2 linked regions of the Lepisosteus oculatus genome follow. The protein of the gene in region 1 interacts with the protein of each later gene in a pairwise test. Links are inferred from orthologs where the notes say so. Each region holds a gene or a part of one and is shown on either strand. Other genes may lie near its edges.

The links.
Region 2: the proteins of csnk1db (region 1) and per2 interact in binary tests that used the Homo sapiens proteins (3 or more experiments, as listed by UniProt). The link is inferred for Lepisosteus oculatus from reciprocal best matches to the Homo sapiens genes CSNK1D and PER2.

What each region holds. Positions count from the first base shown.
Region 1 is NC_090704.1:39,442,980-39,450,818, forward strand, and holds the start of csnk1db (casein kinase I), read left to right. Parts: upstream 1-4,727; 5' UTR 4,728-5,133; coding exon 5,134-5,209; intron 5,210-7,839. UniProt on the Homo sapiens protein: Essential serine/threonine-protein kinase that regulates diverse cellular growth and survival processes including Wnt signaling, DNA repair and circadian rhythms. It can phosphorylate a large number of proteins.
Region 2 is NC_090708.1:8,122,506-8,130,263, reverse strand, and holds the start of per2 (period circadian protein homolog 2), read right to left. Parts: upstream 3,250-7,758; 5' UTR 3,074-3,249; intron 2,717-3,073; exon of another isoform or gene 2,474-2,716; intron 1-2,473. UniProt on the Homo sapiens protein: Transcriptional repressor which forms a core component of the circadian clock.

The DNA.
Region 1 (7,839 bases):
GTAATGAACAAAGCATGCAGAAAAATTTAGTTTTTAATCTAACCTCTTTTGCACAGGTAGAGTTGAAGTTGTTTTTAACCTAACCTCATTTCTCACATGTAGTTCTGAGCAAAGGGCTCTGGCCACAGGATGAGGTCTGAGAGCTCCCTGCAGATTTTGTTCCTTAAATCTAGCCTTTCATATTCATCTGTTTGTTCAACAGGGAATTAAAATATTTTGTACTTTATTTGAAGGATGTCTGAAAGCATCCCAAACTACATTTGTGTAGCCTGCTTACAGTAGATGCTATCATCAGAATTTATTTTTTTAATCTGAAGCCATCCAAGTGCAAGGAGCAGATTTCGCAGTCTTTGTTTATATGATCTCTGAGTTTTTGCTTGAAGACTGCTTAGTTTAGTGGTGTGCCAGACAGAAGACAGTTTGATGGAGGACAAACATTACGAGGCTGATGTAGCCCATCCACAATTGTCCTTATCTCTATCAGCCACCATGTTTTGGTCTTTCACACAGGTACTAAGTTATGGGCAAAACAGCAGTTTTAAGTTAGTCTCACAGGTAAGTCTGCACCATAAAACCTTAATGTGAGGTCACCTTTTTAAACTGTGATTTTGATCTCTGCTAACCTATCTGAGGGAAAAAACAATATTTGGTGTTTTTTTTCCACTGAATAGGAGATACATACATGGATATGTGCTCTGTTTATAATTATCCAAGCCTGTCATATTCCCCTGTGAACAAAAATATTCATAAAAGCTGTTTAAACCAGATGTTGTTGCTGTAGCTTAACATGAGAAAAATACACTTTGGTAACAGCATAGTAGTTTGTAGTTATCAAACCTGTCTTTATCTATATCTGTATGTTGGAGAAACTAACGTGTAATTTGAAAAAAGAAAATGTTGAAATTCACCTTTGATTAATTCATTTGACAAATACCATTATAGTGTTGTATGGTCATCTGTACAATGTCTTTAGTATGTTGTCTGCAGTATATGATGTATATAATCTTTATAATACAAGAATCAAAATTATTGCAACCAACCAAGAATGAAAATTCTACATACTGTAATACCTTTAATATGGTCAAAGTAACAATTTACTCAGCAGTAGCTTGCTGACGATTGTACCAAAACAATTGCTGTAACAACACCTAGTAGACAAACTATAAAATGATAAGACCCTGAATATGAGACTTATTTTACCCAAAATATTAACCAGTTTAGAATGGGTACCAATACAGGAATGCTACAATACAGTTAACAGTGTGTATAGTGCCTGTTGAGAGCTGTAGTTAAAAATGCACCCTAAACAGGCTCTTGAGATGAGCTCATGAGGATTGCAACACCTTTTAAGCTCCAGCGGGTTATGTGATTGTAACAGAGTCACACCAAATGAACCCTTTTACATAAGCATGTACAAGAGTCTGGAAGTGGAACTTGTTCTCTAATCCCATAAAATGCCAAGCAAACTGCACAACATTAATAACTATAATAATAATTTCAATGTAATAACAGCTACACGATAAAAGGAGCAATCCACACCTTGTGCCTTTTAAATCAATATATTACGTTTTTCTTAATTCTACATGAATGCAAAACACATTTTATAGTATACAGGAGATTTGACACTGATTGTATTCACAATGAGAACTGATACTGATATCTATCTCAAATTAACACCTGGCATTACTGGCAGACTTTAAGTTCTTCCAAGAATTTTGAAACGTACCATCATGGTATCAGTTTAGTGAACCATGAGTTAAGCACAAACTGTACAAAATGTTCCTCATCACTTTCACCATGTTACACCATGTTCCATTTTGGTTAAAATAATTTGAAATGACACTAAATAAATACTTTTAGAACATTGATCTTAATGCAGGGGGAAAAACAGATTTGCATTACAGACAAAAATACATATTATCCTACAGCTGCACAATCTGTCATCTGAAATTACTTAGGGATCAAATCATTCATGACACTTCATTTGAATGTGTCTACAGCTTCTTTCAGAGAGATGTTTTCAGTGTTTTCAAGGTTTGTTTTGTCCAATTAATAAAGAGCAGCATCCCTGTGCCATCAAAGTGCACACCTCCACAAGACCATCTATCCAACATGATATAATCTTTAGGTTTCTGGTTGTAGAAATATTTAACTAATTAATAAGCTCTCCTGTCTGAGTATTCTGAATTTAAGAATGTTTTAGGGATCATTTGAAATCAAAGTTTATAGTTAGATGTACCAATCCCATAAACACTTTCACTTTCTAAAATGGCAAGCCATGAAAACAGACGCTGAATCATTGGTTTTTCAAAAGATGTGTTTCATTTTTTTCAAAGTGCATCCTTGTAAAGGAAAATGTCAAATGTAGAAACAATAAACCCAAATAAGTGAGTTGATGTCACAGTTGTGAAACAATCTGAAATATTTTTATGCACAAAAAATCTTCAGAAAGGATTCATCAGATAGCTTTGTAAAAAAAATCCATGGCCTTACATTTTTCTAGTCAAAACATATTAGCTCAGAAGCTCAGAAGTATTTGATGAATGAATCAATAATGTAAAACGTAGGGTGGTAAAAATGTAAAAACACTGCAAAAGAGCAGGCCAAAGACATCCTTAATCTGTTATAATATTCTTGGCGGTCTGGAAAATGCATAGATAAAATATTTCTACTTGACTTATGGAGATTATTTTTATAAAATCAAAAATACAAGTTGAGGAAAACTTATATGAAATTTTGGACATATCCTAAAATCTGTGGATTCTAAAAAATATCATTTCTTGTCTTGCCTTCAGAAAAAATGGTTGCCCCATATACTGTATATGCTCTTTATATTTTGATGTAAGCACACCTATTTACATTTTTAAAAAATCTAAATAAATCAAGAGATTTTAAAATGTGATGGGATATAGTATGTTCAGACTTTCATTATTATAATCAGATACTATTTAAGATTGCTTTAGAACCCAGTATCTGAAGCAAGATTAAACACTAATTTATTAAATGTAATCTTCCTTGGTACGTTATACTTGTCAAAGACATTTCTTCTAGGATTTTTTGTATTCTTGTTTATGTTAGCAAAATGTAGCTAAATTCTGTGTACTTGTGTAATAAATACATTTTAAATAAATGGTACCAATCCATAACTCAGAAGATTTATGGATTAGCAAGGTTTATAGAGGATGGTCTTAGCGGAAATAAATATCTTGCTCTCAAGGATATCTTCAGTAAACCTAGAAATTATATTTTTATAAAATAAGAACAGTTCAACAAGCAATAACACTTCTAAAAAAGAACAAGCCTTTTTAGAAGGCCTAAAGGAGGAAAGAAAGGAAAGGTCAGCAATAAACTGCTACAGTACTCAGTGGGCCCTTAGTCAAAGGCAGATGAGTTTTTTGAGTGATTTCTGAAAACAGTTGTATGAAAAATGTGATAAACATAGAACAGATCCATTTACTCATAGACTATAAAAATAAGACTTGCTGTTTCACAGAAACTGAAGTTTGTTACTAAAGCATATTGTACTGTCAAAAAAGGTTAAGATCAAATATTTCAGAACCTTCCTTTTTGATGCAGTATAATTTTGTTTGACTGCAATTATAGTAATGTAAGGACGCCTTTTGGAGAAAAATGTTGACTGTCTTTAGTTGATACCAATACATTTATGTTTTATGATGTCCAACTAAAATAATTACATTCCAGCCCTATAAGAAAATACAAACAATTTGAAAAAAAAAGGTTGCATTTATCACTTCCTGTTGTTTCAGGCAAAGGACAGATGAGTTGAATTTTTTTACGCTTTTTGAAGTGTAAACAGGAAGACTGAAGAGAAGACATGTTACCACAGAAACAAGTTTGGCAACCAGTTGGAACAATACTGGAAGCTGTGTAAACAACAAGGATAGGTGCACGGTGCTCATGGAACAGAGCAACTTTGAGAACAAGATGGAAGAAAAGCAGTGAATTAAAAATGCACGATTTTTGGCCCTGTTAGAAACATAAATACAAATGTTTGTATCATCTTTCTTTAATAATTGTTCTAGCTTCAGACACAGAGCCTATGGTTTCAAAAACATGAGGTGATAACTGTTTTGTTGTTTCAGGAAGAAGCAACATACTGTACAATATTACAAGAATTTACATATAAAACAATTGTTCTGTGTGTTTATCTTTGTCTTTTACGGGGCACATTGCTCTTCTGTCTATTTACAACACATTTAATCATAGTCACTCAACTGGAATTCTTGCTTATAGAACTAAGGCTCTAAAGGAAAAGTATAGCTATGTAACAGGAAGGATATATGTTCTATGTGTCTATTTAGCAATGGTTTCAGACATATTCAGTATTTATTTTATATTTACTGATGTTTTTTAAATTAAATTATTGTCACAATGAAAGGATTAAAACCATTTCGCATGCTTCATATACAACTGAAAATACAAATGTATATTTGTAGTCATGAGGAATTAACTTTTTCCCACTGAATAGCCCAATGTCTTTTGAGAACATCTTGTCCTGTCCATGTTATCTACTAATAACCTATGAAGCTTATTATTGTAGAGATTGCTTTTGGAAAAAAAAACAGCCGCATATTATTTTACGCTATTTTGAAAGCTGGACAAAAGAAACTAAGAAGGTTGAATCAATCCATCGTTATACTTGTTTTTGTTTCAGACCCTACCCAATCCCCTCCCCCTCTCCACTGTTGCTAGGGGAAGTGATGTCACAGGACTATGGCAGACTGTTTCACACAGAAGGAGGGGGTTAGCAGAGGTAGTCAGTATTTTAAGCTAGAGAAGATAGCCATTAAAATCCGTCTCCATCCTCTCCACCGTTAAGAGGGATGCCATCCGAAACAACAAGAACATAATCTACACATTTCAAGCTTTCAGATAAGCCCCATATTGGTGTATTTGGAAAATCGGGGAGGTAGAAAAGGAATGGTGAAAATTGGATTGTGACAGAAGGAACAATATTATTAAAAATTGGAAGGAAGGGGGAGAGTGGTGAAAAGGGCAGATATAGAGGAAATATTGAAGGTTTCGGATATTATTAGGGGCTTAAATCGAACCTTCCGGGGGTTTGATTAAGAAAATTACTCCTGTTTACATTTTTATATAAGAATTAAAGCCATGGAACTGAGAGTTGGAAACAGATACAGACTGGGTAGGAAAATTGGAAGTGGATCTTTTGGAGACATTTATCTGGGTAAGTGGACTAAATTGATTCTGTAGATTGAAATTTAACTACAGTTATTTTTTGGACAGGACGAAGGTAAGTTGGGCTCATTTGTGTAAGAACACGGGTGCTTGTGTTATGACATTTATGAAAACGGTCTGCAATTTGAGTGAATTGTAGTAGTAGAAGGTAACATTCCCCTTAAACTGTGACGAGCACTTCTTGTTACTGTGCCGTATTTGCATTATCTGCTTCGTAGTATAAATGTGTCCAAGTAACTTAGCTGTATCCTGTTCCTTTTCACAGAATCTAGGATACCTTGTACTAAATAAGGTGAAGCGATGTGTAACTAATCGAGCTCTTTGTATCTCAACCCCCTTGTTACTAGACGGGAGTGCTCCTATTTAAAAATAAACCCGAAACAAATTCATTCCAACAACTTCTCTGACAAGGGCTTCGGTTAGTGAATCGTGCCTGCCGCTCATTTATATTACCTTTTAGTGTTGGAAACGGCGCCGTACACAATGCTATCTCGGGTTTTTGTACCTAATTGGAAGATCCCTTTGTTATGTTAAACAGAAATTGACACTTGGCTTCTTGGCATTTTGAACCTTCGGGTTTCCACAGCCATCGCAAGCCGGAACAAAACAAACGTATTTTTGCTCGTTTTTTTTGTACGCAAATCCCCCCAATTCAAACGCTGTTTTGTGATCTGCATACTTTTCTTTACCAGTGGTTAGTTACTGCTTAACCATAGATGTTAACTGTTACATTGTGTAGCTAGAGCACATACACCGTGCGGCGTTCTGGGTTCACAAAGGAGTTCCGAACCGAGGATGGTCCTTTTTTTATCCGAATTTCGGTATTTTGATCAATTTCCCAGTCGAACCTGAAGTGAGAAACATCAAACAGGAGGACCTTTCTCTTGAGGGTGCATTGTTCTTCAGGCGACATTCGCTTCCGAGCGGTTAAAACGTAACACGAAGAGGCTTGTGTAGCAGTAAATCCTGTTCACCACCACACGTAACGTAGTGGAAGAGGTGGGGGTGTAAAAAAATAGATGTTGATGTGTAAATCAAAACGAAACAGAGTATGCGTTATATAACGTGTGCAGTTGTAAGATCTGGGAGGCTGGTATGCTTTATTTAGCGGAAAAAAAACGTGTAGAGCAAATTGCAGGTTCTGTTTTCCCCCAGATTCTCGTTTGGAAGAGGAGTCACGACGGGTGGGTTTGTTTGTGTCCAACAATGGTCCTTTGCAGCGCCTGTATGCTTTTTAGGCACTCAGTGCATATTAAGCGTGGTCTGGATGTGAATCTCGTGGGTTACCAGTTCTGGCTGTCTGGTGTAAAGTTGGAAAGGTGAGGATAAGTTTCCCCCAGTATTATAACACAACACCAGAAACAGCCAGAAGGCCTGTGGGCAAGACGAACGGTATAAGGGATGTGTAAGACGATCCCTGTTGATTGGGGGTGACCTTTCCCATATGGATGTCATCTGTTACTATTGAGGTAGGCATTTTCCTTTAGTGTCACAGACTGGTTTGGCTTCTCAAGATGCATTCGATACAGGGATATAAATATGGACTGGTAAGTCCTCACTGGTTGTCTGATACGAGAAAATGTAGATTCCCATAGAACATCATTAGAAGTCCATTGTTATGACAGTAGCTATAAGGTGTTTTAAAATGGTGTTACTGAGATGAGCTGTTTTGTATGAATTGTACTTTCTCCTTAAATCAGCTTTGTATTTTATATATCTCCTTTTGGGTGTACACACAAGGCCACCTCTGTAAAGGCTCTCTGTCTTTCATTGTCTCGCAACAGTTTTTATGTTGGTACATTGTGATGGACGTTTTGTGCAGCTGCTAACATGGAGACCATGTTAAGGAATTAATTAATACGGATTTAATCATGGCTTTGGAATGAAACCTAAAACCTATTACATCAGTTGTAGTCAACAGATGCTCAAACACTTAGTCTGCCTTGGTTATGCTGGTGTTTAGCGCAGTATCACTAACTTCATACTGCTGATTTAGTGTAAGTTGGCTTTTTTGCAAACCAACTTATAGCAAATCAAAATGAGTTTCTGTCATTGACTGAAGTTTAATAACATGAAGTGTTTATTCTTAGTCCTATCCATTTGATCTTCAGAATGTCCTTGTTTTGGCATCAGACCTGGAGGCTCTGTAATGTTTTCAACTCCCAAGTTTTTTTTGTTTATTTGGTAAAGTTACAGCTAGTCTGAGCTGGAAGTTAAGGACCTTCTATTGGGTTACTTGAATCCCCATCAGGGTCAGCAGACTATCCACTTCTCCAGCGGTCCCTTCTCGCCTCTATAATGTTTAATCTCACTGCCTTTTCTTGTATGGTTGGCTCTGATTGGAGAAACTGCAAAAACCTTTATTTGATGTCAAAACTGGAAGGGCCTGTTTCTCCGGATCTGGAGAAGCAATTTTTTTAGACCTATTAAACTACATGCTTTACTGCCATCAGCTGATTTATACTTGTCAGTTTTCCTATATTAATACAAAATGGTGGCTGCATGGTTCAAACATAAATTGGTATTCAAGTTAGTATTGCTGGTGTCCTAGTCCTTAAAATATGGACTGTGGCATGGGAAGTCATTTTGCAAATACTCTTATGTACAGAAGCAACAAGA
Region 2 (7,758 bases), on another chromosome or scaffold:
TTTCTTCTGTATGCTTGATGTGTTTACAGTGTGTCAGTGGAAAAGTATAATATCTAAGGTCAGCAAAGTCCAATAATTTTACATTCTAGAACAGGCTAATATGATCTGCATGCAAACCCCTGTTTTTTTAATTCCATTTGTGACTCCAAAAGATCATCTTATGAATTGAGTGAAGATTCTGCTCTTCGTCAGTTTTTCCAGTCAAACCAAACAGTTAGACTCATGAAATGAGCCTTTTCCTATCAAGCTGCCCTTCAGTAACACTTACATCTTCAGCTTTCCCCCCACCAGCAGATACAGGCAGCAGATAAGCTTCAATATGAAGTTCAATACAATCTAAAAACTGAATGCAACATCTATAATAAGTACTTTCCGCATGGTATTGTATTCAAATAATTGAAGATAGTTTAGCCTTGGCTTTTCAATACAAAAAAAAAACTTTCCTTCAAGTAGCAGCAGATCAGGACAGAGTGTGAAGCAGCATTTAAGTCCCTTAAATCTCAACTTGAAGGCTGTGGGTTCAAATCTTGGGTCTACCCCTTGAGCAAGGAGCTTGTCTTAAATTGCTTCAGTAAAATGCTCTGCTATATGAATGTGGACAGATTTGGTCTCATCCATTTAAGCTAATTATAATAATTCCACTTTCCCTTTAAACTAATAAAAATGTAATGAAGTTTGATTAAACCGAGAACTGCATTTGATCTTGTGCTACTACAACATGTGGAGGACTTCAACTTGTCTTATATTATATGAATTATTTATAAAAGCATGATTGAAAATTAAGGGCAGATATAAAACCCCTCTCATTTGATATGCAAATTAAAAGCCACCCAAGTATACAATCCACAGTATACTAAAACTGGACATTCATCAACAAACGACCTACACGAAACATGTTCATATCATTTTTATTTCTGATATTAATCACATTTCTACCTGGATATACAACCTTAAATGAATATGAAGATTCAACTTGTTTTGCAATCACAATAAATTATACATGTTTAAAAGGAGAAAATACAAACGTACCCTTTTCACTTTACCAAGATCGGGTAAACTGTAATGAACTTTGTAAAACTAGCTAGATAGAACCAGCTGTACTCAATATGCTTCAGCAGTTCTCCTTTATCATGCAATTAGGGTTCAAAGATTTATTTGCCTGGCACAGAGGCTGTTCAGAAAATTATAGATAAGGAGGGTTTTAAAACCTGATAGAAAATGAAGATTGATTTCAAGGTTGGGAAATCATTTCATTTCGAGTTTCATTATTCCCAGATAATAAACTTAAACCTTTTTTGTAATTCTGACAATTGATCATCTAAATCCATAGATGTACAGTAGTATCCACAGGTAGCCCACACACCCACAAAAATGTTACATCAATAAAGAAATATGGAAATATGCTGTAACACAACCAAACCATCTCAAAAACAATGAACATAATGTTTAAAATTCCTTACAACTCAGATATCCATGCAACAGGTCTGACTGGCAACTCAGCATACTGTATACAATATAGAGGCACAGCTCAGTAAAGCCAGCTTAAGGTATTTAGGGCATATAATGTAGGAGAAACTATCATGCTGTATGTCTAATAACCTGTTTTCAGTGGGACAATGGGCTGTAGGGATATCGCATGAAGCAGACCAATGCAGCTAACCCTTAACAATCTCTTAAAACCGGCATATTCAATAAACGGACTAATAAATATTAAGGAGTGTATATTTGTGTCATCTAACATGTCGAGACAAACAAGGGTGAAAACGGAACGAAAGCAGAATATATCGCAAACAAAAAACTGCGAAATCTCTGTCAGTTGATTTGGAATGGTTGCACATTCAGGATTACACAGCTTTGTTGAATTACACCCACGCATAAGGCATTAGTTCGCTTTCCATTTGAAAATTAGGAAGAAAAAAAAAAGATTTTCTCCCTATCACGCGTCTAGTCAGCAACTGGCTACACTAGCCTACATCCTCCTGTCGCAACTGACCCAGATAGCGCCACCAAAAACTTGCTCTTAAATACCCCAACCCTTACAGAGAGCACACTGCACAGGTATACCCCAGACGAGTCATTTCACACACCAAACTATATATTACTGTATCAGTCGAATGAGCGAATTAACTTGTTAACAGGGGTATTCGTTCTAATCGGAAATGCAATAATGGTAGAAACGATGTCGTCATTTTAAGTGCAAGAATAACACTATATTACAATCAAAATACTTTTTATTTACAGCCTATGAGCCTCCATGGGTCACGAAAATATATCACTTCAAACGAATACAAGTATACTGGTCGCCACACTGGAGTGGACCTAATATCCTGGCTATGATAGTAAACCGGCTTGATATGATACCGAGTGAAGCTCTGAAAGCATCTTTTTCCAGCTCCATGTTAGTTTTCCCCCTTTCAATCTTTAATATATATGACCCATCATTAAGAAATAAGATGTGATAATAAATACTTGCCTTCTTCACTTAAAAACGACAAGCTCACGACCGGCAGGGTCTGCACTGACTGTAGCAAAGTTGCACGGCTGGTAACTGGATCAGCGAGGTCAAACCCGAGAGACAGGACTGCAGATAAACTCTCTGAGCGCCTGCAGCTCTGTCAGCCTCCGCGATGAGGCAACTTACTCGCGTCCCCCAGCTCTTTCCGTGCAGGAAAATGAACCAACACGACTATGTACAGTAGGCAGGGCAGGTGCTGTCAAGCAAGTGCTACTCCAGTGACCCACCGCAATCCCAGAGGAGGAAAAAAACGTTGACCCACCGGTGGTACGCTTACATAACAGACCCCCTATTTAAAATAAAAAAAATTAAGTCGCTAAATAAATCAGCGCGGCGAACAATTCTCATCTGAGAGAATGCAATACATGCAATAACAGACTGGGAAGAGCAGGCAAACTTTAGAGCACCGAATCACTCTTCATTTCATTCAAGCTAACAGAATCTCCAATCCAAAAGCGTGTCACCCATTCCCTAGTGTTACACAACCAGCTAGCGGGCGGTCTAGCACAGTAACACGGATAACTCTTCAGCCGCAAGAGCACATAAGCAAAGACAAACCTTGCGCGTAAAAAAAACGGGGCTCAGCTCGTTGCTCTCGTTGCTCTCCTGTGTTTGGTTTTACGGCAGGTAGCCTCCCGTTTGTGTCCTCAGGAACATTTGCTGCGCTCCAGTTTCTGAGTCTCGCTCGGCTCCACAGCTGCCCCGAAAACCTGGAGTGGCAAACGTGACCTCAATACGGGCTCCGCCCCGGCTCGGCGCCCATTGGCTCCCAGCCCCGGGTTTCCATGGCAAATAGTAGGCGATGAAGTCAGAGGACGCCAATTGGCTCGACGCGCCGCCAATCTATTTATGTAAGGCTGTCATAAGACTCACATGGAAAACCATGTTTGCAGGCAATGTGGGCGATTTCGTAGTAGTGTAAGCCCTGTGCTAACTGAATGAACGCTGCTGCTGGAAGGAGAGGGTTTGGTATTGGATGGTGAAATTTCGTTGATTGTTATCTAAACTATTATACAACTATTTTTTTGTGTGTGTGTTTCGCTGGCATTCCCTTTACTAAACACGTAATAGTCTGGGGGTGAACCTTTCTAAACTGCCCTGTGGTGCAGTTTTTTCCAAGAGGGCACGCATGCAGAATTATGTAAGTGATTACGGCATTTGTCAACTTGCACGTCTGGATGATGTTGCGTAGAGACATTTGTCGGCTGGCACTTACCTTTTTAATGTTATGAAATAGCGTGGTGGAGACACTATGAAATTCATGCATACAGCAGTACAACAGACTTCTGATCAATCAGTGTTTATTTATCAGATGCACAACAACCAATAACCATTTTCTTTCCTTACCAGATAAATGAATTTGTTTGAATAAAGTTTAAGCATGTATAAAAAGAAGGTCTACACAATGCAGTTCCTTCACAAATCGTTGATAATTGTATAATAATTCTATGGATTACTCGTGCAGATACTCCGTTTGTTTTGTTTGTTTTTTGGTTCTGGGATTGTGTGGTTGTTGCAGATACCGCACCTATGGTATGTGTCCATGCGATTTTGGGGTTTGTTTTGTTGTCAGTCCTGGTGACTGTTGTGTAACGCCAGCGACACCTGCTCCGTGGTCTCATGCTGTCCGTGTGGACGCGGTTTCTTCACGAAACCCGGTTCGGGTTCTGAGGTAACAGGAAGGAACGCGTGCACGTGCTGAAATTCAGTGTGTTCCACTGATATAATTCTGCATCGGGGCTTAAATGGCGAAACCATCCCACATTTTTGCTAAATATCTTCTGGGGATGAGGCATTGTCCTGTACTGTATATAAAATATACATTTACATTATTAGATAGAGGTTGTTGCGTCGAGGGACGAAAACCGTTACTATAAGACTTCTATTAATCCCACGTTAAATAGCTTTTTATGATGAAACAGGGCTACTGCCGTATATCATTTTTGGACCAGATCAGTCATGAGTGAAAGCGCTACGCTGTGTTGACAGGGATGCTGTTTTAATTGAATCATTACACAATCACAAAGATCTATGTTTTCCCATTACATAAGGCGACACTGCGGGCCACATTGTGATATGGAGCTACATTTTTATTAAAACACCTGCAAATCAGACGGTATTTTTGAGGCACGGCTTATCTCAGCACTTTTCACGTGGATTGTGCTAGTCTTTCTCTTTTATACGATTCGCTATTCGATAAAAGCGTTAGAACCGCCAAAGCGGCAGAATAAAATGTATTAAGTTCTAAGCAGAAAACAGAAAAGTCGTTTACTACATTTAGAATATTGTCATTTAACTACTGCTAAGAGGAAAACGTCCTCCTATGTGCTTTAGTCTAGAAAGTAGTACAGCAGAGTTAGTAGAGCAGTAGTACCCCTTTTGGGTGGGGCATGTGTAATTTTTATAACATTTTATAAGTGCTTTAGTGTCATGGGGGAGCCAGAACCTATTCTGGCAAAGCCATGGACACAAAGCAGGATACACTCTGGATGGGGAACCAGTCCAATTGCAGGGCACAGGAAGTTACCATATGACTCTGGACTGTGGAAGAAAACCAGGGCACCCAGATGAAACCCACACATACATGGGGAGAACATACAAACTCCATCCACACAGCATCCCAGGACCTGAACCCAGGGCCCCAGCGCTACAAGGCAGGAACGCTAACAGCTGAGCCACCATACTGCCCCATAATGTTATATATCCCTTAAAATTCAGATTCTACACTTCAGTGTACAGTTCTTACATTTCAGTGAAAGTATCCTTCTGTAATGTGCGGTAACATCTTTTATGTATTTTTAAATGATTGTCTTTTGAGGCCCAGTGTGTGGGACAGGAGTGGGTCATGTTCATGTGTTTATTACCACAATGGCAAAAACATTTTTGTTACAGGCTTGCACTCAAGGAGCACCAACATTTCAATTCAAAATACTTTATTCATCCTCACAGGAGCAATTTAAGTGCAAAGTTTTTTAATGCCCTAGTTGTACTGACTATTTTTCTCTACTATAATTATTGTAAAAACTGCAGTTATATAGTGTGGGCCAGTTATGAAAAATAACATCCCTAAAATTTTAAAACAATGTGACAGTTGTTAGATTTGACTTCTTTTTACACTGTGGATGTCCAGACAGTGTCAAAGAAGGATGTAGTGAACATGGGTCTGAGAATCCATCTAGGTTGCAAGCATGTTACACTCACTACTGAAATGTCAGTCCCTCTCACAAGCCTCTTGCTGGATACCTAGGTAACGTGTGGGCGGTTATAATCCACCACCAAATCAGGTATAGAAGTGAGAAATTACTTCACCGATTGAATTGAGAAGACTGGACTTTGGCCAGGGCACCGAGAGAACAACTCTTTCTGACAGTGCTGTCAGGTCTTGACTGGGCAAGCAATCAGGATCACAGGTTAGAGGCACATCCGAAGGAAGGAACCTCTTGCAGTCCAACGGTCCTTGTTTCCATATTTGAGGAACAGATTGGAATTCCCAGCGTAAGGGTAAGAGTGACCCCTAATGGTCCACCCAATAAATATACTTGTGCATCAGCTTGAAATTCCTATGCTGTGAACATTTCACAAGCTCCCTGTCAGAGGACTTTAACCTGCTAATTTATAAGGCACTGAACAGTCTAGCTCCAGATTATCCTAAGGAGATAGTTTATACATGGGTTCATACTTCATGCATGAATGTAGTCCAATTCCCATTCTTAGTCACTACCAAAGCCCAATTTCCTCATAATCAGGCAACAGATCTTTTTGTGTATAACACCATATCCACAACTATTTGTTTTCCTCAAGCCCAGTTACTATTGATTTTGTTTTTTTAGCATCAGGTTTTGAGTGTTTGAGTTTTACTGTGCTCTCTTTCTCAGTTGTTTACTTCTGTTACATGTATTTTATTTTTGCGTTATATTACAGTACATTTGTTTTGTGATATTTGCTTGCACATCAAATTGTATTCAAATTGAAACAACTGCATTCGCTTTAACATGTGGGCACAGTACCAATAAACTCTATAAATGTTTAAATCTACCATGCAACAAGATATAAAGTATGCACTGTAAGAATTGTCACTGTTGCAACAATCAAAATAAAAGTTTTTATCAAAGAAAATTGAACCGTGCATTTTCCAGGAGGAAAATTAAGGAATTGGGAGCGACCTTAAGATGACTTCCAGAATTGGCACATACACTGTATCATTGGTTAACACAAGGAAATGCTGGAGAGACAAATGACGTAAAACTTCCATTTGCTAAAAAAAAATCTTGGCAAGTATTCCACTAGAAAGGAATGTCTCTGGGTACTTGGGCTTACACATAAAAAATGTTTTAAAGTAACAGCAGGATGTCTGGTGGAAAAGTCTTACTCTGACTAAGAATTAAATTATTTTAGTGATACAGCCTGAGACAGTTAATCCTTTAAAACATAATTCATCATAAAGGAGGTTTTGTTCCATGAAACCTTACAGTACAGTAGGTATATTCTTAATACCTGATATACCTGAATTAACATTATAAGCCCAACTTCACCACAGATTGGAAAAGTAAACTAAAACAGCTGTACATTTTGGAAAGTTTCATTCATGCCCTTTTCCGAATTTATGCCTCAGTAGGTTTCAGTCGTATGGAAACATTCGTAAGAATCACTGGAGAATTACCTTGGAAAAATTCAAAGTGAAATCCTTTTGAACCTTTGATGAAGTTGTAAGTGATCTATGCAGGTGCTATTTGGATTACTTCTTTGATATGGACACAGTGGTTAATTCTTACAAAAGATAAATATAGTGAATGTCATTTCCATACGAGCTATGGCAGAAATACCAGTGTACAGTCCAAACATTAATTGCACCATTGAAATTTCAACAGCTGAACAATTTAAATAAACTTTTAAGTATTTTGACATTACACTTTACAAGTTACATTACTAAGACGACATGTGAATATACAGTAAATAAAAAGAGTACTGAAGAAGCATTTTTATAGCACGGAAAAAAATCCATATTCACAAAACTGTTTTTATTACTATCTTCTAAGGTTACATGAATATCTAATAAAGAGCTGAATGTTGTTTGTGTTAAAGAGAGTTGGAACACATAATTGCTAGCTAAAGGAAGCTTTTTAAAATGTCTTGCTAATATTATTTTATTGTAAGTGTTTTTATCACAAGCACCAAATTTGCTTGGACCAGAAATTTAAGAAAAATGCCAGGAACTAGAGATATGTTAGCTCAGGATATAGAGG